4 linked regions of the Lepisosteus oculatus genome follow. The protein of the gene in region 4 interacts with the protein of the main gene of each other region in a pairwise test. Links are inferred from orthologs where the notes say so. Each region holds a gene or a part of one and is shown on either strand. Other genes may lie near its edges.

Region 1 (8,235 bases), on a different chromosome or scaffold from region 4:
GCTCTTAAAACACACATCTTTAAGCAATTAGTTTTAACATTTTTTGTAAGTTTTTTTAGTGCTACAATTCATTATTCATATTCACTAGGTGTTGCATTTGTTTCCAGAACGCAGTGGCTACACGGCATTATTTTCATCTTGCAATTGTTTTATTATTTGTTTGACCTCTAGGTCTCTCCACATAGAATAAAAACCGTGGCCTGTCTTTTCTTCCATCTAACCAGATCCCCACTCCAGCAGTTGACGTACACTGCCATCCTATCAACAAACACGCTTCCCTCTCTCATGTTTTAACCTTCTTATGTTTCTGCATCGCATACTGAGTTTATTCATTCTGGGATATTTACGGTATGGCACACTGCTACTGCACCCAGTTCCTGCACAGGTGTCTTGCTCAGTTGACTCACAAAGCCACGCACAATCTACATGGTCAAAATTACTGCACACAGTTCCACCAACCCCCGATTCTACCATGTAGCACACAGCTCCACTGACACACATTCCTACCGCACGATTTTAACTGCACACAGCTCCACTGACACCCAGTCCTAACGCACTACTTTAACTCCACAGCTCTCTGTCACCCAGTCCTACTGCACTTTAACTGTACGCAGTTCATCCGACACCTGGTCCTACAGTGCGAGTAACACAGTGCGAGAACAACCCCTGCACGAAGTTCAACCATACAGTTCTTACTGTGTGACACAACAGCACAACAGATCTGTTATTTCACTGAATGCTTGCCTGAACTCGCCCCTCTGTAAATGCTGAGTTCTGAGAATGTTGAGGTGTGTTGAGTTCCCAACGGAACTCTCCCCAACCAGCAGCCAGGTAGATTTCCCCAAGCCCTATCTGAAGGTGGTAAAAAACAGTGCTCACCATTAGAAAGCACCAGGTTGCCATCTTCGGAAAGTTCCTTCCTTGGGGAACCCCGCTCACAATGCCAAAAAACTGTTAGAATCCAAACCAGGAGTCAGAAAATATGAGAGTGGGAGTTCAATAGAACCAGATTTATTCGATCTGCAGAAAAGGATAGTGGACGGTGACTAAGTCTACCATCACACAAAAAAATCTCAAAAATTAAAAGCAGACGCAGCAGCTTAAGTTTACCTTATTTGTGTCACAAAAGCTTGTTCATTTTACAACAGGTTATTCGTTCTAACAGATGTTTTTATTATTTGTTAACATATCTCAGGAAGCCAGCCAAGCACATTGTGTCCTCTCTCTTCCAATTACACTTCCTTTGCTTTTCCTTTCCTGAATATCTTATGGGTTTCTTGTTAGAATGCCATTCCCATGCTAAGCTTCTGCCACTTCAAGGATAGGTGTTCAGCCTTCACAGCCCGAGTTTTTCAGTGCTTAAAAATGGGGGTTTGGTATTTGGGACACTCACCTGCACAGTGTGTGTTATTGATTCCCACTTCCCATATAATTGCCTGCTTGTAAACTGCAAAATTTCACAAAGAAGTCAAGCTGTATTTTGTGCAGTTTTCTGTAGGCTGAATCTTCTGGCCTGAACTTTTTCATATAGCTAAAGACATTTATCCCATTGTAATAATTCTTCAGGCAGTGTATTTTATTTCATTTTTAATGCTACATATTGTAATTGAACAAAAATCTATATTTGCATGGTGGCACAGTGGTTGGCACTGCTGCCTCTCAGTACTGCAGATGGGGTGGACATGATCTGTACGATGGAGTTTGTAAGATCTCTCTATGCTAGGGTGGGGTTTCTCTCACAGCCCAAAGTCATACTGGTAGGTTATTTTGGCTTTTGGAAAAATTGGCCCTGCTGTGAGTGTGTGCATGTGTTTGTGTGTGTGCTCTGTGATGGACTGACGTCCCATCAGGGGTGTACCCTGCATTCCACCTGTTGCTTGCCAGTATAGGCTCAGGCTCCCCTGCGATCCTGAACTGGATAAAATGGTTAGAAAATGGATGAATGGAAAAGTATAGAATATCCATTCCAATCAAGACCATATACAAATGATAAAATATTTAAATTGATCCAAGAGCTGTGAAGAAAGTTAAAGTATCTCTCATTTTGTTTAACATGACAGATTTCCACTTTAACCCAAGACATCTACTCTCTTTTGGCGTATTAAAGTGTAAGTCGGTATGACTTTGGATTGTGAGAGAAAACCCACCCAAACATAGAGAGAACTTACAAACTGCATTGTACAGACCATGTCCACACTAATTAAAAGCATCATTCCCTAATTGTTCTGCATGATATACACTGTATAAAGTATGGCCACAATGAAAAAAGTTTAATAGAAAAGAATCATTTGCTGCCATTGTAATTAAGCAAAGCAAAGGTTTTTGACATCTAAAAACACTGTGAAATATAAATACAGTAAGTATACACAGAATACTGATGAATTAACATTTCCCACAAACCTTTCACCAGATGGAAAATGTATATTGATTGCTAAAAACAAAAGTTACAGACATCTTGGAATGAAATTATAGTTATGTGCGGGACAGCTATTGTTCAAGGAACTAGAAGGCTGGTAGAGGATACCTCTCAACTGCTTGTTATTGATTTAAAGACAAAAAAATATATTTACCCGTGCAATTACAAAACCTACCCCCAGAAGTTTCAGTTTTATGAACAATTGATTACTTCTGAAACCTGATAACCACAAGGGACAAAGCTCTTTTCATATATTATTGTGATTCTGCAAAGTTGATAGACAAACAAACAGTTTGCCTAAATTTAAATTGCAAAAAGAATAATGTAATCATTGTTTGGTAATGATTCGAGACCCCCCCTCCCCCCAAAAAAAAAACAAACAAACAAAAACTCAAGTATAGAAGACTCAAATATATAATCCAAATGATTAATAATAATTATTATTAATATCAAATACGAATACCTGTAGTTTTAGCTGGATCAAACACCAAATACTTTGGTGTTTGATCAAACAGTTACAATACAATGCCAATCGAGAATTATTTTGAATACATTATACATGTATGACTCGTTTACTAAAAGGCAGCAACAAAAAATCCCATTTAAAGCCGCTGCAATGCTGTGCAATATCATTGCTCCCATAAGGTGGCGCTATAGCGACTTGTGTTCCGAACCGAATTCCATTTCCCTCTTTACAGGTCCGTGCGATAATCAGAGCTGTGAGAATACGTGCCTCTTGGATTGCTGTTAGGTTCACAGTTCTGTCATACATTTTACACACATTCACTTAATTCTTGTACTGCCCTCTCAACTGCTAAAGAAAATATCATTGTAAATAATAAATTAGAATGATTACACTACATAAGTAGCACTTTTTCTGGAGACTACACTCCCAGCACTTCACAGGTAATGGGGACTTCTCTCCACCACCACCAACGTGTAGCAACCACAGCTGGTTAATGCTTCATTAATCTGTCTGACGGCAGCCAACGTGTGTCAGAAACTCACTACAGATCAACTATCAGTGGGGAGGAGAACAGTGTAATGCAGCCAATTTATAGATGGGGATTATTAGGAGGCTGTGATTGATAAGAGGCCTCCAGTATAGTACATGACTCCTCCCATAAACTCTTTGCCCTCCTACCATCTGGAAAAAGATATTGCAGTGTATGGGCTAGCTCCACTAGCTGTAACAGCTTCTTCCCACACGCTGTCAGGCTCCTCAACACCTTGGAATTTACTTGCACCTGAGTTTAAATCCCCCCAGTGTGTTGTGTATATTGTATTATGTATTTGCCTTGTAATTTGCACTATATGTATCCCGTCTACAATGTCTATGTCAGTGTTCTGTCTGTATTTGCACCGTGGACCAGGAGGAATTATATTTAGTTCCACTGATATTTAGTTCCACTTATGCCAGCACCCATATCACTCTGCAACTCACAACTCACAACTGGCAACTGGCAACCTATTGCTGCTAAGCAGGTGTGAGCCTGCTCAGTACCTGGATGGGAGACCTCCTGGGAAAAACTAAGGTTGCTGCTGGAAGAGGTGTTAGTGGGGCCAGCAGCATACTGGGGCCAGTTCTAATGCCCCAGTATAGTGATGGGGACACTATACTGTAAACAGGCGCTGTCCTTTGGATGAGATATAAAACCTAGGTCATTAAAAATCCCAGGGGGTTTCTCGAAAAGAGTAGGGGTGTAACCACATCCTCCTGGCCAAAATTCCCAATTTCCCTTACCAATCATGGCCTCCTAAGTAATGGCTTCATTACTCTGCTCTCCTCCCCACTGATAGCTAATGTGTGGTGAGCGTTCTGGTGCACTATGGCTGCCGTTGCATAATCCAGGTGGATGCTGCACAATGGTGGAGGGGAGTCCCCATTACCTGTAAAGTGCTTTGAGTGGAGTGTCCAGAAAAGTGCTATATAAGTGTAAGCAATTATTGTTACTGTATACCTGTACATGGCTGGAGTGACAAATAAACTTGAATTTGAACTTGACAAGGGCCGGGGGGAATTTGGCCGGGACACCAGGGCGGTCACACTCCTAATTTTTCTGAGAAAGGCCCTGAAGTTTTTAACGATCACAGGGAATCACGGCCTCGTTTTAACGCCTCCTCTAAAGAACAGCAGAGATACTGTGCCATACTGTGGCTTTAGCACCCACAAAGACCCGGTGAGCACCCCCTACTGGTCCCACTAAAACCTCTCCCACCAGCAACCATAGCCTTCCCAGGAGGTCTCTTATCCAGGTACTGACCAGGCTCCATGTGCTTAGCTTCAGTGGGCTGTCAGTTGCACGATGATATAGCTACTAGAACTATAAAAACTAAACAGCCGTTTCGATGTAGAATAACACTGGTCGTGTGCATTTATCTAGGAATGTGGCAGGCGTTTGTTAAAGCTTAATTTAATATTTCATCTTTTATTAAAACGTAGCTTGTTCCTTTTTTTTAAGTTACGGATAACTTCCTGTTCACAGTATGAAGAGAGAACGAGAACACTCTTTCTTACTCGCCCTGAAGAGGGAAAATACAGACCTTCGTGATACGTCTACACTGGTAGCGCTTATGATACAGCTGTACCGTTTTGCTTTTAGTAATTGATATTTAATACTAGAGATACAATAATGACAGACATTTGCCTATAATTTATGACTACTATTGAGGGAATTTCTGCAAGGGGCACTCCAATCAAAAAGGTTTGAAAACCCCCATGCTACCCACTGTTCCTGAAAGCGCTTGATGTCACATGCGTAACTTCCGGCTCTTTAACATAAATTGTACGGAAAGCAAGCGAAAAAAGAGAAGGTACCCGGAGAGGAATCAAACTAAGGACGCGAAAGGGGACACACACTGTGACAGGTAAGTACCAACGTGTAGCAATTATGTTTATTGAGAACATGAAAATTTACAGTATTTAAATGCCTTATTTAGGGAAACGGTGCCAGATAGGACATAATTGTTTAAAGTACATCACCTTGTTCCTTTGCATTACAATCCGGATAGTACCAGGAATACGTTCGGAAATATACAGCGAAATGAGAATGCGCATTTTACTGAAATATAGCATAGAAATTTATAAAGATTTTGCGGTCGTCGGAGATGTCATGGACTTGGACACTTTCAGTTAGTGTTTCGAAACCATGAAGGGATCCCTGGTACTTTCGGTAACATGTTAGTTTCAGCCACTAGTTAAACATGATAAGAATAACACTGTCAAATTGAATATCTTACTTTTATAGCAGTAACTTAATTCTAGATATTTTCCCTATAATGAGCAAGAATGTTTCCTGCGTTTTAAATATAGATTTAGCTTGCTTACCGCTTACGAAACAGACTGCATACGAATTTCTCATGTATGAAAGGTGAGATTACTTTACCTACAGATGAGAAACATTAAGGGTTACTTTAATGTAAATACGAGAACAATATTAATACTAGAAGCTGAAGTGTATACTTTGGCTTTTGGTGTACTTACAGTGTATTGAATTTGGCGGTGTCGGTAATCCAGCTTTCAACACTTTCAAGCGCATGGTGCCGTTGGACATTTAAGATCTAGTTGGGTTTTCATTTAAAATATTAAAGAAAATTCTGCAATAGCACAAGATGTTTTATTAATAGGTTATTGGTGTTATGTCTTTAACAACAGAGACATCAGGGTTCTTAGCATTAGGGTCTTAAAATGCTATTGAATATTTAACCAGGTAAATCAATAGACAGACCTTTTTCTTATTTACTGTCTGGAAGTGCCAATTCATTATTTTGAATACCTTGCTCAATGGTACAACTGTGATGGGATTTTAACTTGCCATCTTCCAGTTAAAAATCCAGAGCCCCTAAACACTAAACTGAAGAACAACAGGAGTTTTAACTGAGGCATGTTTATCTAAATGCAATTTTATGTAGTGTTGTCTCTTTGTAGGAACAATAGATATACATAACATTATTTTAAGAAAAGTCTGCCCTCTACAAAATTTGGAGAGTTTTATAGGTTAAGTAGTTGAGCTGTTATGGCTCTGGTATTGGCTGTATCTAACTTTGCTTACAGTAAATTAAAAATGACCAGTGTGTGAGTTTATTATAGGTCTGTAATAATAGGTTAGAGTCTGTAAGACCTCTACCAATGTTTTTAGTTTTATTACAGTTTTAAGTTAATCTTATTGGAAGATACCAGATTAGTTAAAATTATGTTGCTCCTTTTCAAAATAGGTTTCATTTTGTGTCACTTATTATGAATTTGGTTTGTGTGACATTTTGCAGTGTGAAACTTGTTTTTAGAAGGATCAAATGTTTGTTTGTTTTTTGAAAAGGACACGTGTTACAGGTTCAAAGTGTGGGAACAAGGGCTGTGATTGATCGGGGTATGTTGTTGCTAAACAATTAACCTAGTGCTCATGCAACTACACAATATTGATTTGTATGCTTGGACACGTTTAAGTTCTTATTAAATTCTAACAATAATCTACATGTTAAAGCGAGAGTAAGGATTATTTTATCCAGTAATTTATTAGTTTAGATCTTAGGTTGCCAGGTGTGTTAAGAGACTGTAAGGGAGTGCCGCATTCCTGGGCTGTACTTTGTGTCCCTTACACTATTCATGATTTGCTTTGATGAACAATGTACTATCGGCTGGTTACTAACAAATCTAGCAGCTAGGTTCAGTACCCTTGTTTAAATCTTAGGTACACATCATTTCTCATCTAAGTCTCTTACACCAGAATTCCCTAGTCTTCATAAAATGCAGTGCCCACTCACAACACCTACCTCGTTGAAATTGCTGTTTGTGTATGTATTTTAGTGTAGTCAAGAATGTATTTCATAAATGACTATGATAATATTTTGAACAATTTTCAAAACTCTGTGAACAACAAAATCTACAAAGCTAGTTTGAGATGTGAGTAGTAGAATCCCTCTAGTACTCAGAGTGAAATGTCCAATTTAACTTAAGCAATTTGCTTTACCCCTGTTGCTACCTATTTCATTCTTGTCATGTGGTTAAGCATCCATAGTTTCCTTACAGCATTACAGCATGAAGATTTTTCATTGTGCCTGACCTGCATGTTCTTTGAGTGTGTCTTTTGCATGAGAATGTTAAATAATACAGCTGACTTTCAAAATGTTACAGTCCAGATCCTACAGAGTTTGGGGAATTTAGAAGACAGTTAATGGAGTAGAGAGCAAAATGTAAAGTGGCACACTTCAAAAACTAATGAAGGTGGCAGTTTGATGATTACTGTATATACTTAAGCAGGATAAACTATAACTGCAGTTACAGCAATTTATAGTACGACTGCATGGATAGACCTAAATTGATTTGAGAGGAGTACTTTAAAAAAAACTAATTCATGCTATAGTCAGTGAATAAAAATAGTTTACTTTAAAATGGATATAGGACTGATCTCAGGGAAACAAGATGTTGTTCTCTTCAATGCACCTTTATACTGCCCATACAAATACCTTTTTATGGGAACTTCTCCAACTATGAAACAATACTCGCTGAAAAATGAATTTCCCCTTTGAGTGTATTAAAAGGGGAATTGTGATCCTCTTGTTCCTTTTTTATTTATTTTTTGTCATGTATTGTATATCTTATAGCCCAGAACTTAACATATTATACAATATGTAAGAGAAGAATTAACAATATATTGAAAACCTACTTTAACTTTTTAGTGAACATAAAATAAGAATTTGAATAATGCATAATTACAATATTTCTGTTGTGCTTATTAACTTTGAAAGCCTCAAAGATTATCAGTCTTTATATTGTCATATATAATTGTTATATTGAATGTGTCCCTGTAATGGAAATAGTT
Region 2 (7,342 bases), on a different chromosome or scaffold from region 4:
AGAAGGGACTACGGCTTCTTACAGATGAGTTAATGCCGTCATTTACCATATATACACAAAACAAGAAAATGAATAATAATGTAAAAAGTCCATCTCAAAACGAGAAACAGTTTGAAAACCTTGCACACCTTCCAGAAATGGACTGAAGTAAGATGATAAAATACCGATGGAACTGCATTTTCCAGTCCTGGCTTGATCACTCACTTGGAGTGACATCTTGCTACTTGTCTACTGATGGCTGATTAACCATTCAACTATGTAGCTGCCTTTTAGAGCCAGAGATGGAACAGACTGGAACATCTACAAGTGTAAATTAGTGTATGAGAGGCTATCTAATTAATTGAGAAGCTGGTTCATTAACCTGCAATTCACCCTCCTGCCAGCATCAATAGCAGGCACTGCTTTTCCATTAGTGTAAAAACGTGCTCGCGGTCCTCAAGCCCATCGGCTCAGAGATATACGTCCATGGTCTGCAGGATCATCTGGCGGCAGAGCGGGCAGTTGTGCTGGTAGATGGGCTGGCGCAGGAGGATGTTGGCGCAGTCCCGGCACAGGCACAGGTGCCGGCAGGGCAGCAGCAGGACGGTCTTGACGCAATCCTGGCATATCACGCACTTCTTCCTCTCCTCGTGCTCCTTCAGCATCGTCAGCAGGCTGTCTGGGGGCGGCCCTCTGTACCCCTCAGCTGAAGGGCACCTCTGCAAGGGTCTGTCCATGCTGGAGCTGGGGGTGGCAGAGGCAGACTGGGTACTGTTCTCGGGGGGCTCGTCCCCCTGCCCGCCCGCATGTTCTGGGGGACCTAGGGCGTGCTGAATGAGGGTGGCCGTTCCGCCCACTGGAGGTCCTTCTTCCTCCATGACCCCTGGCTGCCTGACCTCCCCGGCGCCAGCCCCCACACTTCCTCCCGCTGGCGTGGCTGCCTGCGTAGCCCCTCTTCTGTGCCCGGCCCGGCTGCCCGGCCAGGTTCCTCGCTGCCAGACGTCCGCCTCCACCACGGCCTGCGCCCGCGCCAAGGCGAGCAGGTAGAGGCGCTGCAGGACCCGCTGGAGGCGGTAGAGGGCGGGCACGGTGCTGATGTAGTGGAGGGTGCGGTCCGCCCCGCGCCGGGACAGGTCGGGGTTCAGGTAGAGGGTGGTGGCCGAGACGATGCCCAGGGTGAGCACCAGGCCGTACAGGTTGAGCAGGAAGACGCTGATGAAAATATGGCTGAGGGAGCAGAGGAACTCCAGCGCCACCTGGCAGGGCGTCCACAGAAGGATGGCCGTGCCCACCAGGCTGCTGGAGAGGTAGCTGAAGAGAGTGAGGGCAAGCTCGAGGGCCTTCTGGAAGGGCCCGGACACCACCTCCCACGTGGCGGCCGCCAGGGCGAAGCAGTTCTGCGTGCCGATGAGGAGCATGTTGACGACCGTGTTGACGAAGTAGAGGACGAGGCTGAGGGCGATGCCGCAGCCGTCGCAGAGCTGCCGCAGGACCGACTGCCCCGACAGCAGGCCGCGGTGCAGCAGGTCCCTGGCCCGGAGGAGCACGTGCGAGGAGAGGTGGCCCACCATCTTGAAGCTCTCCAGGACGCCGCAGAGGGCCCGCAGGCAGCCGCCCAGCGCGTTGAGGGAGCCCTGCGCCAACCCCACGACCGCCTCCGCCGCGGACAGCAGGCCGAGCAGAATCAGGTTCCAGCAGCCCAGCAGCGCGTTGGTGATGAGCGCGGGCAGATGGTAGATGAAGGAGAACACAGCCCACAGCAGCCTCATCAAAGAGTTGACGACCCAAAAATTCAAGTCCAACATGAAGCACAGCAAGTCTATGGATCGCCCGATGAAGCAGAACACGAAGTACACCAGACCCATTTCTTGCTTGGTTGCTTTCCTGATTAGTGTGGGGTTTGGAATGTTTTACGGATATTCAGTAGCTTCCTTTTATTTTTATCGGGATGACACAACCACACGTGCTATTTTCTCTAAATGCTACATTATGACCGTGAAAGCACTTGTGTCTGTTTTATTCCTGTGCGATTTTTCTCTCCACTTTCAACCCATAGATCTTTTGCACATTTACAGTTCCGATTCTTAATTAGAGGTTTTGTCCGTTTACAAAAATACAAGGGAATTAAAATAAGACGGAAATCGTATACATTGCTCCTTCAAAATTCTAGTTTGAGAATTAAAGAACCTTTGGAAACGTAGACAACCGTTGAGGATTTTACTAAACGCCGATACTCTAAATCAACATCTACGCAAAATAACCCTTTGCAACGGCATTTAGTTTTATCTTAGACGGTCAATACTGACTTCCCAATCCAAACCTTCTGCACTTCATCAATCAGCAAAGCAGCTAAGAGCTGGAAGGGGGCAGGAAATATCTTCAGTCTCTTCAGGGACTACGATGGTTTATCTCGAAATGAACTCTTTGCTTCTGGAGGGGGGAAATAAACAACGACAGCCACGATCAAACTTTTTATGAAACTACCAAACAAAAGTTAGATTGCCCTGGCCGCGGCCATGTTGTTTTCGGTTTCTATCAGCAGAACGTTGAGCCGATCGACGAGGTGCCAAGGAGATAGCCAGGGTGAAGCAAGCGAGCGCCGATACAACAATCCTCCACGTTATCTATAGTACAAGGTGTGCAACCGCGCGTTAAATCAACGTGCTCTAAAAAACAACATGCTAGACACACTCCAAACAAAAAGGATAGCTGAAGTAAGATGTTCATTAATCATTCATCACAGGGTTTCGCACAAACATGCATAGACGTATTCATGCCCTGTCTTTATACCACACAAGTAGTGTCCCTGTAGATGCAGGGCGATGTATAAAACATTAATCTGCGCAGTACTAGTTCAGGTATGTGTGTTGTTCATACGTCTAATGCATATACTAGGTCTTTATAGAAGAACAGTGTTCCTAAAATTATTCCTTATGCTTTATCACATCCTAATAAAGTTATAATATAATAATCATAAGCTTTTAGTACATGTGTGCGAGGTAAGGGTTAATCCCACCTGGGCTGTGATTAGTCTGTTCAAATGTAGTTTTGCGGTTTTGTTTTCCAAACCGGGGAGTGGCAGAGGCTGAGAGGCATCTCTATTGGTTCTTTCAATCGTAAACAGGCGGGGCTTCTTTTGAGCAAGAGAATGTCTTAGCCCTGTTCCAATTTTCAAATAATAACATGACGAAGACTTGTTCTGTATGGTATTGAACGCTAGGTATAACTAAATATGTTCTGGATACCGAGCTCGTTAAAAAATAGAGAATGTGCAATCACGAAATTAATAAAACATCAGTAAGAAATAGAATCATTTGGGACTTAAAGGAATTTAATACACACATTTAAACCGGGATTAAATTAATTCAATTAATTTTACTCGAGTGCACCTTTAATAATTCAAATAGTTGATTCGCTTTAAACGAAGTATAGATTTCTTTATCCGATTGTTGGCTGTATTGATAACGTTATATTTCGTTCAGTGTTTCTGTATTTCGTTCTCCGATTTACTGCAGTGCAGCATTCCTAAAGTACAGTTGACGCTGCTCATTCAGCTTCAATACCGTGAATTAACTTCAATGCAGTTTTTTAAACAATAACTTCTCTCATCACAACCCATGACGAATGCTGGACTGGGAACAAAGTTTCCGGTATATCATTCCCAATACTTCTCAGACAATAGCTTACAGTGTAGAGTGAAGTGATGTGTAAAGCACAGAGAAATGTGATTGAGCAGGCGTTCCCAGTCCTGATCCCGGAGATCCAGAGATTGTTTTTTCTTCCGGCCACCTCTCAGTTACAAACTGAGCCCTTATGATTAATTAATTGACTGAATTAATTAATTTAAATAGAATACATTTAAACTGGTTAACTCTTTTCAGCTCTTAAACGTGTTGGAGGTTACATTTTAACTATTGCATTTCCTAAATTAAATAATATCACAAACCTATGAGTAAGAAAAAAAAAACTTGCTAATATTCCAGTCAAGCAGCGAATTAGTTCAGGTAAGGTTTCAATGAAATAATGAAACTTTGCAGGAATGTGTGGACCACCAGGATGAGGAAAACCTGTACAGGATGAGACCTTGTAGCAGAGAGGGAAGGAAACCTAGAGAAAACTGTAGCAACAGGAATGGGTGGTAAAAATATTTATGCAAGCACAGCAGAGTTAAAGTGCAAGGTACACTTTCATGAGGGTCTTTATACAGCAAAACTATTCTAAAGCAAAGGTTTCTGGTTTTCTTCCCACCAGAGTGCTTTAATCCTAATTTGAAATCATTGTTTGCTTAATTGGATTAATTGCAGCATTTCCTTGTTCTTAGGAGGAAACTGCAATGCTGTTTTTACATTTCGGGGGTATAATGAATCGGTAATGAAACTACCAAGAACACTCTAATGTGTACAACCTCCAATTTACATCACAACAGAGACAAAGTTTCAATACACGTGTAGCACCACACTGCCATCATTGTCTGTGATTCAGAATGAAGCAACAAAGCTTCTGGTGATGCAACAGCTGCCCTATTACATTGTAAACATGCTTTAGACCAAGTGAACATTTTAATGAAGCCACAAGAAATATGTATTTAGATACTTTTTAGTATTGTGAATAAAGAACAACCAGGTGAAATACACTCATAATAATTAACGTTGTTAGGAGACCATGTTTCTCATTTGTTTACAGCGACTAGTGAGCAGAAAGGGCCACTTTCATGTCACAATTCTCACAAACTCTCGCTCTCGCCCATCGAGATGCCAGCGATTTCTCGTCTGCCTGCGACAGCCTGGTGACCATACAGTACTTTCACAAAGTTCACGATTTTACCTTTTGCAATACCATCAAATAATTTGTTTTGTCCCCGAGATTTAATAACGAGGCTGTGACCTTAAAACCCAGCTGGATTTCGGTGGTTGAGGACCAGAGTACAGCTCCCCTGACAAAACGAGTTCATCACATCAGACACTTTCTCTACAAAAAGAGCTCGCCCGCATACTTGCTTGAAAACCAAGTAATTCCTAAAACATTTCAAAGCCTACACATGCCCATGTTTGGTCTCAGAAAAAAAATATTTGCCTCTTCCCCTGCCCTCTGAGAATATCAAGCTATTTTTGAGTTCATCCCGGGCAGTCAGAAAGTTTTTTTTTCTGTATGTTTTTTTAGACATGATGAGAACCTTTCTTTTGGGGGTAAAAGAGGCACTAAACAGTCTAGTCGCTTGCCAAGATGTGGGCTCTGCCAGTGTGAATCTGGCCGGTCTGCAGATTCTTCCATGATTGTCGATGAGCTGGCTGCCCAGACTGTGAGCGTTTGAGATGTCAGCATCTGCGGTCTCCTGGCCTCTTTACAAGTTCAGAAGTTCTAACCCACTTGCTTGGCTGTATATTATTAATTTTCTCTGTCTTTCAGCATTCCTGTAATACAGTTCTACATGGTGCAAATCTGATTAACATGTAAAATTTTATATTACAGCTCAGGGGCTAGAAGATTTTTTTCTTCTTGCATAAGGAAAGAATGTAGAGCAGGTGCTGAGCCATTATTAACTTTCACGCTGAAATATTGTTTTATTTTTGCAGCTGAGAATTCCTGTTTTTCAGTCCATTGTCAGCTTTGGCTTGATCTTGTGTATATAAAGGGAAATATATTAATATTCATTCATTTTACAATTTTACTAAATATGAATGAGAATATGAGGTATCACTGCCCAGCTCAACTACTCACACATGGACTTCCATCCATACATTTTCTAAATGCTTTATCCCCTACAGGGTTGCCAGGTTCCAGCAAGCAATGGGTGCAAAGAAAGATACACACTGGGTGGGTTCCACTGCAGGGCAGACAGACACAAACACACACTCTCAAACATTAGGGCTAATTTTCCCAGAAGCCAATTAACCCTACACGAGGAAACTGGAGCACCCAGAGGAAACCCATATGAACAATAGGAGAACATGCTCCGTGTAGATATTGAGGAATTGAGCTCATGGCCCCAGCACCACGAGGTAACAATGCTAACACCTGCTTCACAATGCCGCCCACACATGCACTAAATACATGTATTTATTTGGACAAGATACACAATCACAGGTATTTAACAACAGCACCCTTTCATCCCACACAACCTGTGCATTTAATTGATAGTGGGAACCTATCCTGCACAAAATCTAATTATAAGTTACAGAGAGGAAACAAAACCCAATCAAAGCCTATAATTAAAATTAAATATATAACTAATAAGGAAGACAAAAAATAATTTCATTCTTATGACAAAATGCTTAAGTATTTGCACATTGATCAGCACAAATAAAGATTAGCTATAGCAAAGACTTTAGATCAGGAGTGTTAACTGCAAAATGCATGAGTAAGACTTCCCTTCTAAGATTCTGTACAGCATTAGTCACCACCTTAACACCTTTCAACTACACTTGCTAGTGAAGAGATTACTCTCCAGTTTTAGTCTACAGTTCAATATTGGTTGGATTTTAGACATTTTGACCAAAAGATCACACAAAAGTGAGGGTAAATGGTCTTATATTAAAGTAACTTTGCTCTCCTCAGGCAGTGTGCTTCCCCATCCTATACATTCTGTATATGAACAGCTGTAAAGCCCTTTTGAGGAGAGACAACCCCTTACGTTTGCTGATTACTCTGTCATTGTCAGTCTCCTATAAGACATTGACACTGATGGCGGAACAACTCCTTCCTTCCACTTAATGTGTCAAAAACCAAAGACAAGATAATTTATTATAGAAAGTAATGACCAGCTGCAAAACCCACAGTCATTGAAGAGCAAGAAATTGAAACTATCAACAGTTACAAATATATTGGCACTATTGATGATTACAAACTAACCTTTGAGGAAATATACAGACGCCAAATATAAGAAGAGCCAACAGCGATTGTTCTTCTTCAGAAAACTGTTTTAATGTGTAAACTACAACATTAACTTTATTCTATAGAACTTCCATTAAAACTGTCCTAACATTCACTTCAGTAGCCTTGTATGGTAAGCTTAATGCATGCAATAAAACAGACTGAGCAGGATTCTGAAGGTAGCAAGGTGCACAACAGCTACAGCTTTCAGATATCTATGTCAAACTAATACCGGTGAAGGCCAATATAATCATTGACTGTCATGACCACGCCTTGCACAGTGAATTTGAGCTCCTTTCATCTGGCCATCAGTTATCTTTTATTCCCACAGCTATTAACCTGTAAGAAATATACTGCTGCTCTGGAATCCATCCAGCAAAGATGGATCCCTTTAGTCTTGGCCAGAACAGTCGGAGTACGGAATGCTCTTCCAGCCACATTATTGAGGCTTCCAAAAATATCATATAACTTATCTACTAACAATCAAGTGCTA
Region 3 (8,257 bases), on a different chromosome or scaffold from region 4:
GGAATACAAGCATTACACAGACTCCCTTCTGGGAATTAAACAGGAACTGAAAACCGTCATTCTGGTCTTACAAGAACTATACCCAGTGAGAAACAGTGCTCACATAACCCCTAGACATACTGTAGAAGTGAAATTAAGAGTCACTGCTCTTGAAAAGGGCTGCGTACATTAAACAGTCTCTCACTGCAAGACTCTGCCATGTCTCATCTGAAATGGGTACTTACTAGTTTGAGGGTGTATTTGTAGTCAGCTGTGGGGGCTCCAGTGGTAATCTGTTGAACTGAAAAGAGGTTAAGGAACAGAAGTTTTATTTTAAAGAGGTAAACAGAGGGATGATTCAAAGTTCAACAGTTTCCTGTATCAAATCAACATGTTTCTATTTGCACAGTGTATGTCGGGCGAGAGCGACTAAGGACAAGGATTCCACAGCAGAGATTTATTTTTCATTTCCAACAGTTCAAATACCATTTAAACTTCAGGCTAGAAAATGAGCAAACCCTGCTTAACAAGGTCTAAAATGACTATATTCATACAGCAACACGTATAAAACAAATTGAGCTTTTACTTCACATATCATTATAAACTGGCATCTCGCACTATTCAGAGTGACACAAGGACAACACTGACGATCAGCGGGGCAGTAAAGGACTGGTACTGTATATTATGAATAAGTCAGCTGAAAGAGCACAAAGGTCATGTCCTGCACTGCTCCGGCCTCGCTCACCTCCGTACAAAAGCTCCGAGTCGCTCTGGCGAAGCAGCTTGGTGAGCCTCCACTTCCTGCCCGCGGTGTCCGTCAGCAGCTCGCTCTCCTGGAGGGGCTCGATGCACATCCTCCGCGCTCTCTTGGGCGTGCTTTTGGCTGAGGATTAGGGAAAGAACGATGAAACACTGGGAACTCTGCAAAATCTGCGTTCTGACATTCGATTGCCCCGTCTTCCTCTCGTTCCCTGTTCGGTCCCACGTTGGCGTGGTCTGCACAGCGGAGATGCAGGAAGGCCAGCAGGGTTATTTCCCAAATCAGTTGTACTGGAGCCTCTGAAAGGCCTTCTCTATCTGCAGCGCGTGCCAGCATTGTGGCTGAAGCTCCCCCCCCCCTTTTCCACAGCCGAAGTGTCCACTTACCCCCAAGGGGGGATTTAGGAGAGGGTGAGGCCTCAGCGGTGCTCTCCTCTTCCTGCTTGACTCTTGGGGACGCCTGGCGTTTGCGCGGTGACAGCGGGGCACGGCTAGCTACACAACAGAGACCACGCGTCAGGGCCGTGAGCCAAATGGCTGCTGTGCTTGAACGTGCCCATGTCTAGACGCACAACACATTCAGCAAAGGGAAAGACAAGGAATGCTGTACATGCAGCTGTGCACCACTGCGTTACCTATCTATGAATTGGCTTCATTACTCTGCTCTCCTCCCCACTTATAGCTGATGTGTGGTGAGCGTTCTGGGGCACTATGGCTGCCGTCACATCATCCAAGTGGATGCTGCACACTGGTGGGGGTGGAGGAGATCCCCATTACCTGTAAAGCACTTTGAGTGGGGTGTCCAGAAAAGCGCTATAGAAGTGTAAGCAATTATTATTATATTATTACCGCCCAGTGTCACAACTCACTGCTGCTTCTGGCTGGCCACCCTGCTTACCTCCAGGGAGGCTCTTGGGGGATTTCGATAGGGAGGCAGCTGTCCTGGAGCTGACCTCCTCTTCCACCTTGACCTTGGCGGCCGTCAGCCGTGTTCGGCGAGGTGGAGTGAGCGATGGGGCGTGAGCGGGGCTGCTCTGACCTGCAGAGGAACGAAACACACGTCAGGGTTTTGAAACAGCTGCCCTTGCCCTTGTACCCTGCAGGATGTCTAATTAAACATGCACAGGAGTATGGGAAGGAGCAGGGCAGTGAGGGAAGTCAGAAAGAACAGAGCACAGTGATGTTTAATGAGTCAAGACTCAAACCATGTGAAGACTTGGAAAGCAAAGAGAAAGTGCAATAAAAGCACAACGCTTGAAACACACAGTAAACTACAATATTGGCCCACCAATTTTCACTAATAGCCTTCGTGACATTTTACTTTAACACCGTGAGTTACTCAAGAGTAGCATAATTACCTTCAGAAGTGAAGGATGAAAAGTAACTAAGAGTAAGTGGGTTCATCTTTACTGGAGTGCTATTTTCACAATTAGTGAACAGGAATGAAATGTTGGAAATGCATTGGTTAGAAACTTATTAAACTATATATCTACAGTATATAATGAGTCTCTATCGAGATTTAGGTAAATTGCTCTGTGTAATTCTTAAAAGACACCACAGACACGTCTACTTGCTCTTTTTTGATGGAAACCTATTTACTCCGAGATGGAATGGTAACCATTCCACAGTCATTCAAAAGCCAACCTCCCCCCCGCCCCGTGTAACTCAAATCAAAAGCACGGAGACATCCAAGCACAAGCCGCTTCTCCGAGCGGTGTCTGTCTCTTTCAGCAAGGCGCACGCTGACGTCCCGTACCTGGGGGGTCGCTGGTGGTCACCTGTGAGATCGCTGAGGCTGCAGCCTCTTCAGGGTCCTCAGTGGGCAGCTTCTGTCCGCAGGACGGACAGAACTTGAAGCCCGCCTGCAGCTTGGAGCCGCACTGAGGGCAGTAGTGAAGGATCATGGTGCTAGAAAGAGGAGGAAAGGTGCAGGCTGAAGTTCTGCTAACTGTGATGACTGAACTTCCTTCATGGTTCTAATAATTATTCCTTACACGTCTATAGCGCTTTTCTGGACACTCAACTCAAAGCACTTTTTTACACGTTTAGTTTGGCCCTTAAATATAAACACTTACAGACGATTGCTTCTGGGGGGGTTATATAAAACAGTTTATCGATTTAACTGACGTTTTCATGAAACCGATGATTGCTTAACGTGTTCCTTAATACAAAACCCCGGGTTGCGAGACGTATTTAATTTGTTTTAACTTATTCAGTATGTCTCACATTGTCATAAGCTCAGCGTGATCGACAATTAATATTCATTGCACAGGTCCCTACAAAGATTGACCACTTCTTGTCTGTTAAAATGAAATACATGTTTGTATTTAACAAGACGTACAACAATCGCATATGAAACACTGGTATGTCACTGCAGGACTGAGAGGCGCTGGCTCGCCCTGATTAAGACAAGTATTAACACCTCGGAAGCAGCAGAACTCAATTGCACCGCCACTCAAGTGAGTTTTACTGTGCAAAACAGGCTGCACAGTCACCGAAAAGAGGGCAGATTGTACCTCAAGGTCCAGCGAATCCACAAAAACCGATATAACTTTCCCTCGCCAAACACAACCGTCAACACTCCTACTTGAAGGACTTATCAGTTAACCATGTTGCACGACCAGCTCCAGCCCCTCAGGAACTGGGCCGCCTCGGCGTCACGTGACAATAACACCGCTGTACGTCACAGGACGGGGCGCCGCCTGGGCCAAAATGGTTTGCGCGTCCCGACGTAGCGAAGGCGTTGAAAACGAGACGTGCTGCGATTCGCAAGCGTGACGTTCAATTAATATTTTATAGTTAGTGAAATTTTTGTGACAGACGGTAACCCCTAATTGCAGACACTGCTTTTGTTTTGTAGCCGACTAAGCCACCTCTAGCTTAGTCATTCTCAGGATCTTAGGACCCTTTTCTCTCACAATAGGTTCCTTTTATTAATGAATCACCAGTGTCCCCACAGACAAAACACTTATCCAACATAATTACACCTTTTTATTACAGTTTCTCAATCTACACAGGACCTATGACACTACTTATCCACCAGAGGTACTTCCTCTCAGAACAGTTCCAGGACCAAATGCCCCAAAGGAAAAGTCCGTGTGTCAGACACTGGTCAGTCCACGTCAATTTAAAGTCAGCCTAGTCCCAGAGACCAGCTGTCCCTCACCTGGATTTGGTAACTTTCTGACAATTTGACTTTCTGTTGAAATAATGATTAATACAAAAAGCTATGTAATGACAGAGATACAACAGTCTATGCTGTATTCGTTGGACTATTGGAACAGTTGGAACAGTGTCAGGTCCTGAAGGAATGTTTTTTTTTTGTCTTAACCTATGAAAACTCTCCTGCTTGCCTTTGGGAGGAGAGGGGAAACAGGTCTGAAAGACAACATCAGAGCTCATCATGTCTCTGGGGAGAATGAATGGCACCAGCTTCTAATCTCGGTTTTTCTCCAGCCAGGCAGTTCTGCTTTCAAGTCTCTCTTAAAATATTTACTCCCAGAGTGATCCAAGCTGCCACAGCCTTTCTTACGAAATGGTTCAGGGCCGTCTGCTCTTCGCCACTAGCCGACACCAGTTTCAAAACCGAGCATTTTGCATAGGAGATCTATGAAAATAAGAATTTGCATAGAAAATCTATGAAAAGTAAGACTCTGGCGACATATATAAAAAATATTCTGAAATAAGGGGACACAAACCCTTATCCCCTGCGCTCACGGAAGTGATGCGAGTGATTTTGAAATTCAAAAAGTAAAAAAAAAAGATAAGTCTTACATTATAGAACTGTGTGTTGCGGAACTCATCATTCCCATAATTCCCCATATTCATTATTCCTTAATTCTCCTCTTTCTTTTTTGTGGTAAATTAGTAGGATTAATGTAAGAACTTTATTGGATGAGCATTTCCAAACTTAAGAATAGTTAAAATTAATTGTTATTGTAACCTAAAATATCGATCACAACAATGGATTATCCATTAAATTCTAAGAGAGTATTTGGAAATGTTTTTTTTTTAGTTTCTATTGACTAATCTGTCACGAATTAGCGACTCTATGGCAGCACAACCGGAAGGAGGGCTTGAGTGACGCTGACGCAAACCGGAAAAGAGGAGCTCAGATGGAAACTCCGAGAATTAGAAACTGGAGACGGACTGTGGAATAAAAATAAACACTGCCAGACTCGTTTTGCATCTACTGAGAGGACGAGTAGAGAAAAGAGTGGAGGAGACCGAATTTGTAAAAAAGTACGGAGGTCGCTGACATAGTTTGTTCGACCCTGGCCGGTGCCAAGTCAACTAAACCTTACCCGCATCACAGTGGAGGGAAAACGTATCAGATGGACTCTTAAAAAAGTGTATTTAATCTTAAAATAACGTCTGCATCTAGTCGTCGGGGCCGCGGTCCTCAAGCAGCTGTGAAACCGTTGTGCTGTCAGCCTGTCGAAGCTGTTGTGTTGTATAACAGGGCCACGGAAGGATTGTGCAAGTCTGCTGCTGAAGCAGTAACTGGATCCATCTGGAAACACTAGTAATATCGAGGCCAGAGAGTAAGAAAAAACCGCCCCGTTTTTACTCATTAGCAAAAGCAACACAAGTGCCTGCAGTTATCCGAGAAAATCATCAGGATTTAGCAGGGTTACAACACCCCCATGTCGCAGAATGCGATATATCGACAACAACTTTGAACTGGCTTATCCTCATGTAGTCCGTCCGGCCTGAATCTGTCACTCTTAATTAGTTTGACTGGGTTTTTTTTTTTACAACGTTTTACTTCAATAAAAAGAACCAATTTAAACCGTTATTGATCGCATCTCCGCGGTGTCGAGTCCGTGAAACAAGGTATTGAAACCGATTGTATTTATTGAACTCGGAGCCGGTCGAGCGCCAGGATGCCGTTGCTGTTCCTGGAGCGGTTCCCGTGGCCCAGCCTGCGGACCTACACGGGCTTGAGCGCGGTCCTGCTGGCTGGGAGCATCCTCAGCGCCTACAGCACGGTGACCGAGCCGGGCTACAGCCTGCCTGAAGCCGGAGACCCCCACCCCAGCCCGGGTCAGGACGAGAACCAGATTGACGGCGTCGGGAACGGAGTCGCTGCAGATGTGCTGTGGTACCTCGTTTCGGACAGCTTTTTTGTTTGGGTATGTAGGTAGACAAAACAGGAATCCAATGCAGATGGGTATTGTGTTTTACGTTATTCATTTTAAAGGGGTGGCATGTGTTCATTTCTTATTTTCAAATTAAATTGACAGTGTCATTCTAACTGTGATGCCGTTGTTCGGTTCCCGTACTCCTGTTGAGAGTATTATTTATTTATCTGCTGCCTTTCAAGTTAAAGTATCTCAAGGTGCTTTGGTCACCACTTTATAAAAATATATTTCTGCTCTGGGATCAGCCTAGGTAAGACCTTTTTTGTCTTGGAACAGAGAAGACTTCAAGGAGCCTGATTCAAATTTTAGAAATCTTCAGTATCAACAGTGCAACATGAACCAGAGAGCACAAATGGAAACTGTGTGAAAGTGCATTTAAAACGGTAAAACAGAAATAGACACCTAACAAGCCAAATTGTTTGACTGGACTCGTTTGGCTTCTCGCCATTCTTAATATTCTGAAGTTCCAGGGTGCAGTCCATGAATGCCAAGTGATTTAACTAAAATTAGGACTAATCGGAATACCAGCAGTGCTCAAGTTTCCACAGGCATGGGAGCTGATGAGAACAGTCAATGTTTATTTGTTGCAGAAAAAAAAAAAACATGACTTCATGTCAACTGAACAATTCGATCGTGCAGGAGCTTGGATTAACTTCAGATTTTGTGCAAACAGATGTTGAGTGGGTTTCTGTAACCGTGCTAAGTGGCTGTATGTTTACTGAGCACATTTGTTGCTTTACGCTAAACTACTGAAGAGGTTACATGTAAGGTGATGCCACATGGATTACAGTGTAGATTGTTTTTGTACCTGTGACTCTGTTTTACCCCCACAACACAGGTCCTGGTAAACACAGCGTGTTGCTTCCTGATGATGATTGCCAGAATGATTCAGTACATGGTGTTCGGCCCCCTGAGAGTCAGTGAGAGGCAGGTAATGAGAATCGGATTTCTTTTCCTTTTCACACCTGGAAAATTGAGAGGTCTAAAATTCATACTTATGATAAACTGTAGTGATTCAATTTTAATTGTGCGCAAAACTAAGCAGGCACCTTTTCTGTGATTTTGTTACGCAGGTATGCTCCTGTTTTGAAAATGTTGTGGGTTTTCAAGACATCTAAGTAAATAAGTGTGCAACAGCATGTTTACACAGTTACAGCAGAGTGCATCAGTATTGCATCACGAGATTGTCAAGAGGATTCCGGTTTAGTAAAAAGGCTGCATGATGTCAGTCTTCATGCTGAGATACACATATAAGTTACATTAGGCTTAACTCGGTTTTCTCAAGTTTATTTAAGTGGTAATGTGGACAATAAAGTCTGTTCTGTTAATCATTCACAAAACGCCTAGAGATTTGGTAACTGAACAACTTTAATCCCCTGAGAAGCCTCTCAGACAGAGCTTGAATGTGATGGTTTGGTCTGACTTTTCTCAGTCTTTTAATTATTTAGCTGTGAAGTTTATGTATTGAATGCAACCTTCTGATTAATTTAAGTAATGGTTGAATCTTTTTTATGGACTGAATTATTATAGCTAATAATTTTTAACTTTATCAGCCACGTGCCATTTTAGCTCCAACACCAAAAGAAATGCCAGCTAAACACCGAAGCAACCTTACAACATTCTGTGATTGCACGAGTGTTAGCAAAGCTGTTAAAATTGTTGATGTGAGCCTTAGCATCTGTCCGTCAATCTCTGCAGCACCTGAAGGACAAGTTCTGGAACTTTATCTTCTACAAGTTTATCTTCATCTTTGGCGTGCTGAATGTGCAGACTGTGGAAGAAGTGGTCATGTGGTGCCTTTGGTTTGCAGTGCTGGTCTTTCTGCATCTCATGGTCCAGCTCTGCAAAGATCGGTTTGAATATGTAAGTAGCACTGGACCATTCAAAAAGTCAGGTGTGTGCTGTTATTTGCTATGCAGTCTGTGCCCCGCAAGGCCAGCTCGTTAGACAAGCGATCTTTTGGAAGTCCATGAGGTGTATTTCCCGTCTTTAGTTTAACCCTCATTTTTAATGTCTTATGACTGGTGTCACCTTATAGCAGCTCCTCTGGTTTAGATGGTGGGATGTGTAAAGCAATCTGAAAGTACGGCTATTAACTTTTGTTGAAGGAAATCTGCACCATCCTGCAGACGTGCCAAATCCTTGCATACAGTGATTTTGTCACTGGGTCACATGAAACGGTCTTAGAAATGGACGGGAGGGGACAGAACCCCATGTTCTTCATGCTCTGTGTGCTCCCCAGCTGTCGTTCTCGCCCACCACCCCCATGAGCAGCCACGTGCGAGTGCTGTCCCTGCTGGTGTCCATGATGATCTCCTGCTGTGGGCTGGCTCTTGTCTGTGGGCTAGTGGGGCTGTCCCATGGAATGCACACTG
Region 4 (7,165 bases):
TCTAGTGACCGATGATGACCTACTGTGCCCCCTGTATCTACATCGGTGGGCTGTGCCACACTGCAGCCTTCTGGATGAAGCAGCTATAGACAATGGGTGGATGATGATGAAAATACATTAAATGCTCATTTAGACACTTATGAAATTCATATAAAGAGTAGTTTATGTAAATGTATAAGCATGTGTATGGGACAATGACGCAGCATCATACATAATGATGATAAAATATAGCCTTCTCTATCAAGTGGTGCTCTGTTTCCTCAATGAAATCCAGTATGAATTCCATTGAGCTGTGCTTTCTCATGCAGGATTGGGCCTCAGCCAGAAACTCTCAGTATTAGCAGTTTCAGATGTCCTTTTAAGGCTATTATGAATTGGATTAGCAGAAATAGCCCTCATGCAATCACCCTGCACAGCAGGAGCACACACTGGCTTGTTAAAGGGGTGTAGTTATACCACTGGGTTCATACCTTCTGGACTAGTATGAATAGTTGGCAATACTGAAAAGTAAAGCCAGGATAATTCAAACCATCAGAAAAAAAGAGTTGTTTTGTTCTAGATCAACTGATAAGGATGGTGTTTTATATAAGAACAAGTAATAGGTTTATTCCACGCTTGAGAAGAGAAGAAAGAAAACACAATGTTTCGGCCATGGTGCCTTCTTCAGGTGTGAGAGAGACAGGGCAGTAGCCAAAGGTAATGTAGCGGGAGAACAAAAGCTGGGAGAGAGGAGGAGCGCGAGGCGGGAGCAGGGGACAGAGAGTGGCCAATCATGGCTGTCAGAGGTGAAATGAGAAACAATAGGCTTGGAGAAATCTTTAATCTTCACAGCCCTAACAGTCTCCTCCCTGTTTCCCCAATGTAGATGGCTGGGTATTTAGTGCAAGAGATACAGTAAATAAGGTTGTGGAGGATACAAGATGTCATCTGAGTGATCCGGAATTGTCCTGAGGGACCTTGAATGAGTGTGGTGTTAGATATGTACTTGCAGGTGATACAGCGAGCTCTGTTGCAGGGGAATGTACCTGGTGTGGATGATTGTTGAGGGCGGTCAAGGGAGATGTGAACAAGAAGGTCACACAGATTAGGTGGTCGGCGATATGAGATGATGGGGTGGTCAGAAAAGGTGTTTAATATATGTAGGTTTGGAGCTTGTGAAAAAGTTTTACACTAAAGGACAAAGATGGTGGTTGTAGAGAACAAGAGACAGGTAATGAGACACTTAAGGGAACATTAATAAGGGATTATTTATCTGAGCCACGGGGCAGTTCTTCCACCTGTAACAAAACATGATTCCAGCACTGAAATAAATCTAGTTGAACTGCACACAGAAAAGTAGAAAGAATGACAAGCCTGCTTCAGGTATGTGGGAGAGAGGGAAATGCTGAGGACCTGAAGACGTGTCATACTTTTCAAACAACGCCTGTACTTCTGGAATTACTGGTACTTTCACCTTCACAATGTGGTCAGTTCAAGCTTGACAAGTCTTATTCCACGTATTGTGAGAACATGCATTTCAAAGGCATTTCAGTTAATTCACAACTGAAGGCAACACAAAAGCAACGTTCAAGTTTTAATTGAAACAAAATATCTTATAATATAAATAATAATGTAAAAATGCTGCCCTCAATAAAAAAGATGATTGTTCAGTTCACTTATTCTAGGTGTACATGTAGGTGTATGTGCATGGTATATAAGAAACAGATCTTACATATTAAGCTATTATTGAATAGTACCCAGTGCAACTGAAATTTTAATCAGTAACATTGACCTGACACAATCAAATCTTGTTTCCCTAATTAGATGGTCAGGAGGACTGCATTGAGTTTAAGGAATAGATCCATTCTGAATCATATAAAGTTATGTTTCATAAAATATATTTAGAAAAGCCTCCTACCTGAATGAAGCCCCGACTAGCTCTGTTGGTAGAGCATGAGACTCATTATCTCAGGGTAGTGGGTTTGTGTCCCACGTCTGGTGCCAGGTCCTCCATGCTGGAGGTTGGGCACAAGGCTAACAACCCTGGCCTGTAAAACAACTAATGATACAGTAACAACAACAGGATGTTACTGCTCCCACATGTCGGAAGGCATAATGGGCAAACATCCATCTACCTGAATGACCAATTATTGTAAATAAAGTAACTGGCTAAGGAAAATGGCATTCAGCAATGTCATCTGTTTTCTTTGTGATAAGGTGTGTTTGCAATACCCAACAAATGTAAATCTATTCAATGTATAAGTAGATTTGCAAAGATTCTTCTTAGTTTATCGGTACATCATCCATGAGGTAAGACAGCATCTAAAAGGTTTTTAAAAGCATTTATTGTACCCCACCCATAATGACAGGCTTTTCTATTAATTCCAAGGCAACCTACTTTCAGATACTACTGATAAAACCAAATTCAAACAGGAGGCTGAGACAAGATTCCTGAAGGTAGACTGTCTTGTTCTGTAACCCTCTCTATCAGTCTGTGAAAAGCTTTCTGCTATGTTTCTGGAACTTTCCTCAGCTATGATAACCCCTAGTACAGAATCCTGTACAACACAGTTTTCGTTTTTATGTCCTTTTCTTTAATACAACTCTATCGGTATGCATTTGACTGTCCATGACATGTATTCCTTGTCTTGAGCCAAGACAGTGCTGAAACTGCTGAACTGTAGTGTAGTTTCGGTCTGAAGACTTTTAACCATGGATATGTAACGTAAGTTTAGATACCTTTTCAAGTGGACTTTTCAAGTTATGATCCAATCTTTCATTTACTTAACATAATATATCTTAGTTCAAGTCCTGTAGGTAGCTGCATCAGCATACATTGGCTGCAAAGGAACAAATAAAGGTGTATTCCATGCTGAAAAGAGAAGAAAAGAAACACAACGTTTTGGCTGTGGTGCTTTCTTCAGGTGTGGTAATAAAGGTGGAGGGGTGGCACTGTGGCTAAGGATCTGTGTCTATGGCTAGAAGGTTGCTGGTTCAAATCCCACAGCTGGCAGAGGAATCCTACTTGTTTAGGATTAAGGCCTGAGCAAGGACAATCTGGAGAAATTGGTCTAGCCTAAATTGGATCCCTTGGAGGGGGAGTGTAACCAGGGAAAAGCCATGCAAACACAGGGACAACATGTAAACTCTCCACAGACAGACACCTCTAACTAGAATCAAAACCAGGACCATAGAGTTGTGAGGCAGTAGCACAAGTCACCATGTGCATGTGCTGCCCAATTAGCTTCTTAAAAGTTTGCGACAGAAAACGTTTAGCTACCATTTGGCTGCAAGTCTTTTTCAGTATGTAGGCTATTTCCTTATTGGCAATTAGAATTGTGCACACTACAGGTATCTGGCCTCTGAGCTTTGTGAACCATCGTTTATTTTTGCCAGTGCAGTTGAAAAGCAAATCTACATAAGACTTGCACATAGTTGCATGATTTTTTGTAGCATGTGGGAACTATTTTTCTGCTTTTGTGGTAACTATTTTCTTCACCATGTGAGACTACAAGCTGCTCTCTGGTTGCTTATTACTCATCACTTCCCTGAATTAGAATTAAAGTCAAGACAACCCATGATTTCGCACAGAACAGACACAGCAAATAGCACCCAAGCAAAAAGTATTATCTTGCTTTGGTCCAGATTTTTAACGAGACTTTCCTGTTTACCTTGGATAGTTCCACAGGAGTAAAAGATCAAACGTCAGTAAAAACCTACCCACTTTTTTTTTATCTTCCTTTTTGGTATTCTGCATAAGACAATGGGATCACTACCCTTTCACTTCAGGATTTTCAGTAGGACTTTCAGGCGTCACCTGCGTCCAAACACATCGACACCGGAGAGTGTAATGAAATGAAATACGAGTTCTGAAAATCAGGTTTCATTTTGCTGATCAGCAAAAGTGTAAGTCATTCGTGTGTTTCGGTTTTTCTTCTGGTGTATCCATTGCTATACTCAAATAATAACGTCCGCCCCTGCCTGAAACGACCTCCTCTCTCTCTCTCTGCGTCTCTTTCCCAGTCCCTCCCAGACGGGACAGTATTAGACCTAAAACCCCAGCTGCCTCACGCCCGGCCCGGTGTCCTTGTTTTGTACACACAGGACTGCCCCCGGTCCACGTGACGCCCTGACGTAAAGCTCAGCCTGCGTCTCTCGCTCTGGTGCAGGGGGTTTCCAACATGGCGTCCATGCAGGTGAGTGTCCAACGGGAGCCGGAGCCGCTCGGTGTAGTTTGGGTCCGCTTTTTCCTTCTCGCCCGCCTGCCTCCGACACCCGACGCGGCGGAGGCAGGCGGGTGCCCGGCGGTGGTCTCTGCCAGCCTGGGAGTCGGAAGTGGCGGCCGGGGGAGGCTTGGAAGTGCGGAGAGAGGCGCCTGGCTGCCCGCAGCCCGTGTTGGTGGTGTATCACCTAGCTGGAGCGGCGGGGCTGTGTGCTCGCACAGGTGATCGCGGCGGTACCTGGAGATCGGGACGTGGTGTCCAGCTAGTCATCGGAGATGTGTGGACGCGTGTTAAAGTGTGTGCTGTTCTTTTTTGTTTTTTGGCCAAAAAAAAAAGAAACGTAACAACGACTAAGGGGATCTTCAAAGTAGAAACCAGGATGTTTCCTGGAGTTTCTGCAAGGAGACGACTGAAGACGAATAACGACGTAGGCGGCTCTTGCTTCACAGTGCATTTGTTTCCCAAAAGAGACAAACAAACAAAACAAGTGTGCGTTTGAGTTTTGTCGATGTTCTAGCTGGGGGGGGTCGTTCGACGCTTTGGAGCAATTTCTAATTTCGAGAAATTAGTGATGAGCGGTGGTCGTAAAATATTCGTTACGGCAGATGGTTCTTGAATGGGGGTGAAGGTGGTGGTGTTTTTTTTTTCTTTCTTCAGGGGTAGCTCTGGCCCTTGTATCAACCCCAGCAACGGGACAGATCAGCGCTCCCGGCGCTCCTGCATTTGGAATAATGAGTTTATTCCTCATGATGCCTCTGGCGTCGGGAACGCCGTGTGTTTATTTTTAAAAAAATCCGTCACAATGACCTTCTTCGCAGAAGTTTTCTGTGGTGTTGTCACGGGTGCTGTATTCAGAGAGGCCCCTTTTTTTTTCGTTGCTAGGCTTTTAGTGATTGAGATCGCTCGGACCACAGAGCACCTACCGGTGTCTGCCTCTTTGTGTTTGGAAGGGCTGTCACGCACAGACACATGCTTTTAGTCGGAGACGGACTTCCACGACCGCTGCACTCAGCACTGACTTTTATAGATCCAGATTCCTACTAGCCTACGAAAATAATGCCCCCCACTCCTCCTCACCATACTGTTGGTGTCATCTTCCACACATTTTTGATTTGGGAGGTTTTGAGGTCTTTGGTAGAGAAAAGTCAGTATGCACAGTTCAAACTGGTTGCTAAAAGCTTATATAACTGGACTGGTCTTGTATTCTTTTAGCAAGGGTGTCTCCATATCATAGATTAGAAGAAACTTTTTAGAGATTGTCAGTCCTACACTATTTTTTTTAACCAAGGCAGCTTGGATCGGGTGTTAAACAGTTGCCATTTCAAATTTCATACCGTCACAATCGCTATGCTTTTCTGAAGATGTGAGTACATTCTGTTGGAGACTAGTAAAATCATTCTTGCAGCCTTGTTTTGTAAGTGTAACCCATGTTAACAAAAAGCCAGGAGGAATTTGCTTTTTCTTTTTACGTGTAGTTAGACGTGGCAGCTCTTTGTCATTTTTACTGCTGTTTTTGTTCTGAAACTTATCTTTCCAGCTGGGAACCCGGAATAAATGTGACTCCAATCGCCGACACTTTTAATTTGTTTGGTTGGCAGGTGCCCTCATCCAGGGTGATTTACAGAATCTATAGAGCTTGCATTGTGACTAAGTACAGGGATCCATCAAGGAGATACAATAAGGTAAAAACAAATGTATGACAGTAAGGCTCGTGTGATGAGTGTAACTTTGATTCTGTTGGGGTTTGATAAGGATACAATAGGGTTTAAAAACAACAATAGGGACAAACTGGATAGTGATGCAAGTACTGTGCAAACAGTCAAGCTAAAACACGATAATTGCACATCTGTGACAGATCGTTTACATTACGGTCTCAGTCAGTTTTTAAAGTGTTTTTGCCTGGAAAATTCTTGTAACACCGTAAATGCGTTTTGCTCCTCTTGTATCCGAAGAAGGTGACCCAGACTTATGACTTCACCTTGGAAATGTATTGATTCATATCTTGCATACAGTGGACGTGTTCCTTTGGGGGAAGACACCTTATACTCCAGCAGTGTGGCATCAAAATTCACCAAGATCTGAAATGCATGTACTGCAGCCCCCAGGTCAGAAGCTATTTATAGTTGTCATCGTTATTTCTGGGAGCCTCGGAGCTTTCATGTAATCAACAAATTTGACAAGAGACACCTTTCAAAAATTTGTCTTGGATTAGTCCTACTCTAAAAGAAAATATTCTAAATAATTCAAGCAATCATTAGGAGCTACTGTAAGGCTGATTGTGACTCCTAAGGTCTTATGTTGATCCCTGATTTTTTCGGAATAGTTCTGTTTTTAAAAGCATTTACCTGAATATGTGAGCTTTATAGAGTATTTCAGATCTTTTCTTTTTTTTCTCCCACTTTATAAGTTTTTCCTTTCTGCACGCCCTCGTTCTTTTAATGAAAAACAGTTATTCCTATAACTCCTGTTTGGTGAGTTGTTTGAAAACTTTAGACCGCGTAGCCCTGTGTGGACCTGGAACCCTGAGATGGGTAAAAAAAAACTCATTTGACTTTTTCAGTCACTAGTTAGAAAATTAGTTTTTCTTGCCTTTTTTTGTTTTGCGAAAGCTTGGCAAAGCTGTCTACTTTATGTCCACTGTTCTGGAATAGGATAACTCTACCTTCTACCTTCACGTTGCAGTCTTGCCGTTAATAATATCTTCAGGCAGTTGTCTGAATGACCGTTGTGTTTTTCATTGTTTTCAGCTTTATACCCACGCAGTATAGAGTTTCCAGTTGTTTCTCTTGGTGAATGCTCACGGCTGTCCCCCCTGTACTGCCAGGGTGAATGAGGAATTGCTCTCCTTACTTCCTCGCTTATCAGCCAGTCATTTTTGATGTGCTTTAGCCTTTGAGCTCCTGCACTGACTGGTCTTTCACTGCCGACACCTGGAGGGCAGTTGTTCAGTCCAGCTAGGTTTT

The links.
Region 1: the proteins of ube2wb (region 4) and xiap interact in a two-hybrid assay, tested with the Homo sapiens proteins (2 studies listed by BioGRID and IntAct). The link is inferred for Lepisosteus oculatus from reciprocal best matches to the Homo sapiens genes UBE2W and XIAP.
Region 2: the proteins of ube2wb (region 4) and rnf26 interact in a two-hybrid assay, tested with the Homo sapiens proteins (2 studies listed by BioGRID and IntAct). The link is inferred for Lepisosteus oculatus from reciprocal best matches to the Homo sapiens genes UBE2W and RNF26.
Region 3: the proteins of ube2wb (region 4) and amfrb interact in a two-hybrid assay, tested with the Homo sapiens proteins (2 studies listed by BioGRID and IntAct). The link is inferred for Lepisosteus oculatus from reciprocal best matches to the Homo sapiens genes UBE2W and AMFR.

Annotation. Positions count from the first base shown.
Region 1 is NC_090703.1:41,702,298-41,710,532, forward strand, and holds the start of xiap (E3 ubiquitin-protein ligase XIAP), read left to right. Parts: upstream 1-4,986; 5' UTR 4,987-5,284; intron 5,285-8,235.
Region 2 is NC_090718.1:11,997,681-12,005,022, forward strand, and holds the start of rnf26 (E3 ubiquitin-protein ligase RNF26), read right to left. Parts: upstream 3,100-7,342; 5' UTR 2,996-3,099; intron 2,604-2,995; exon of another isoform or gene 2,410-2,603; 5' UTR 1,845-2,409; coding exon 450-1,844; 3' UTR 1-449. UniProt on the Homo sapiens protein: E3 ubiquitin-protein ligase that plays a key role in endosome organization by retaining vesicles in the perinuclear cloud.
Region 3 is NC_090715.1:3,658,168-3,666,424, reverse strand, and holds the start of amfrb (E3 ubiquitin-protein ligase AMFR), read left to right. Parts: upstream 1-5,242; 5' UTR 5,243-5,624; coding exon 5,625-5,873; intron 5,874-6,720; coding exon 6,721-6,813; intron 6,814-7,580; coding exon 7,581-7,745; intron 7,746-8,124; coding exon 8,125-8,257. Other genes in the region: serine/threonine-protein kinase VRK3, read right to left, coding at 225-280, 725-862, 1,126-1,233, 1,637-1,777, 2,495-2,642. UniProt on the Homo sapiens protein: E3 ubiquitin-protein ligase that mediates the polyubiquitination of lysine and cysteine residues on target proteins, such as CD3D, CYP3A4, CFTR, INSIG1, SOAT2/ACAT2 and APOB for proteasomal degradation.
Region 4 is NC_090701.1:53,366,749-53,373,913, reverse strand, and holds the start of ube2wb (probable ubiquitin-conjugating enzyme E2 W-B), read left to right. Parts: upstream 1-4,071; 5' UTR 4,072-4,160; coding exon 4,161-4,175; intron 4,176-4,638; exon of another isoform or gene 4,639-5,565; intron 5,566-5,800; exon of another isoform or gene 5,801-5,884; intron 5,885-6,214; exon of another isoform or gene 6,215-6,230; intron 6,231-7,165. UniProt on the Homo sapiens protein: Accepts ubiquitin from the E1 complex and catalyzes its covalent attachment to other proteins.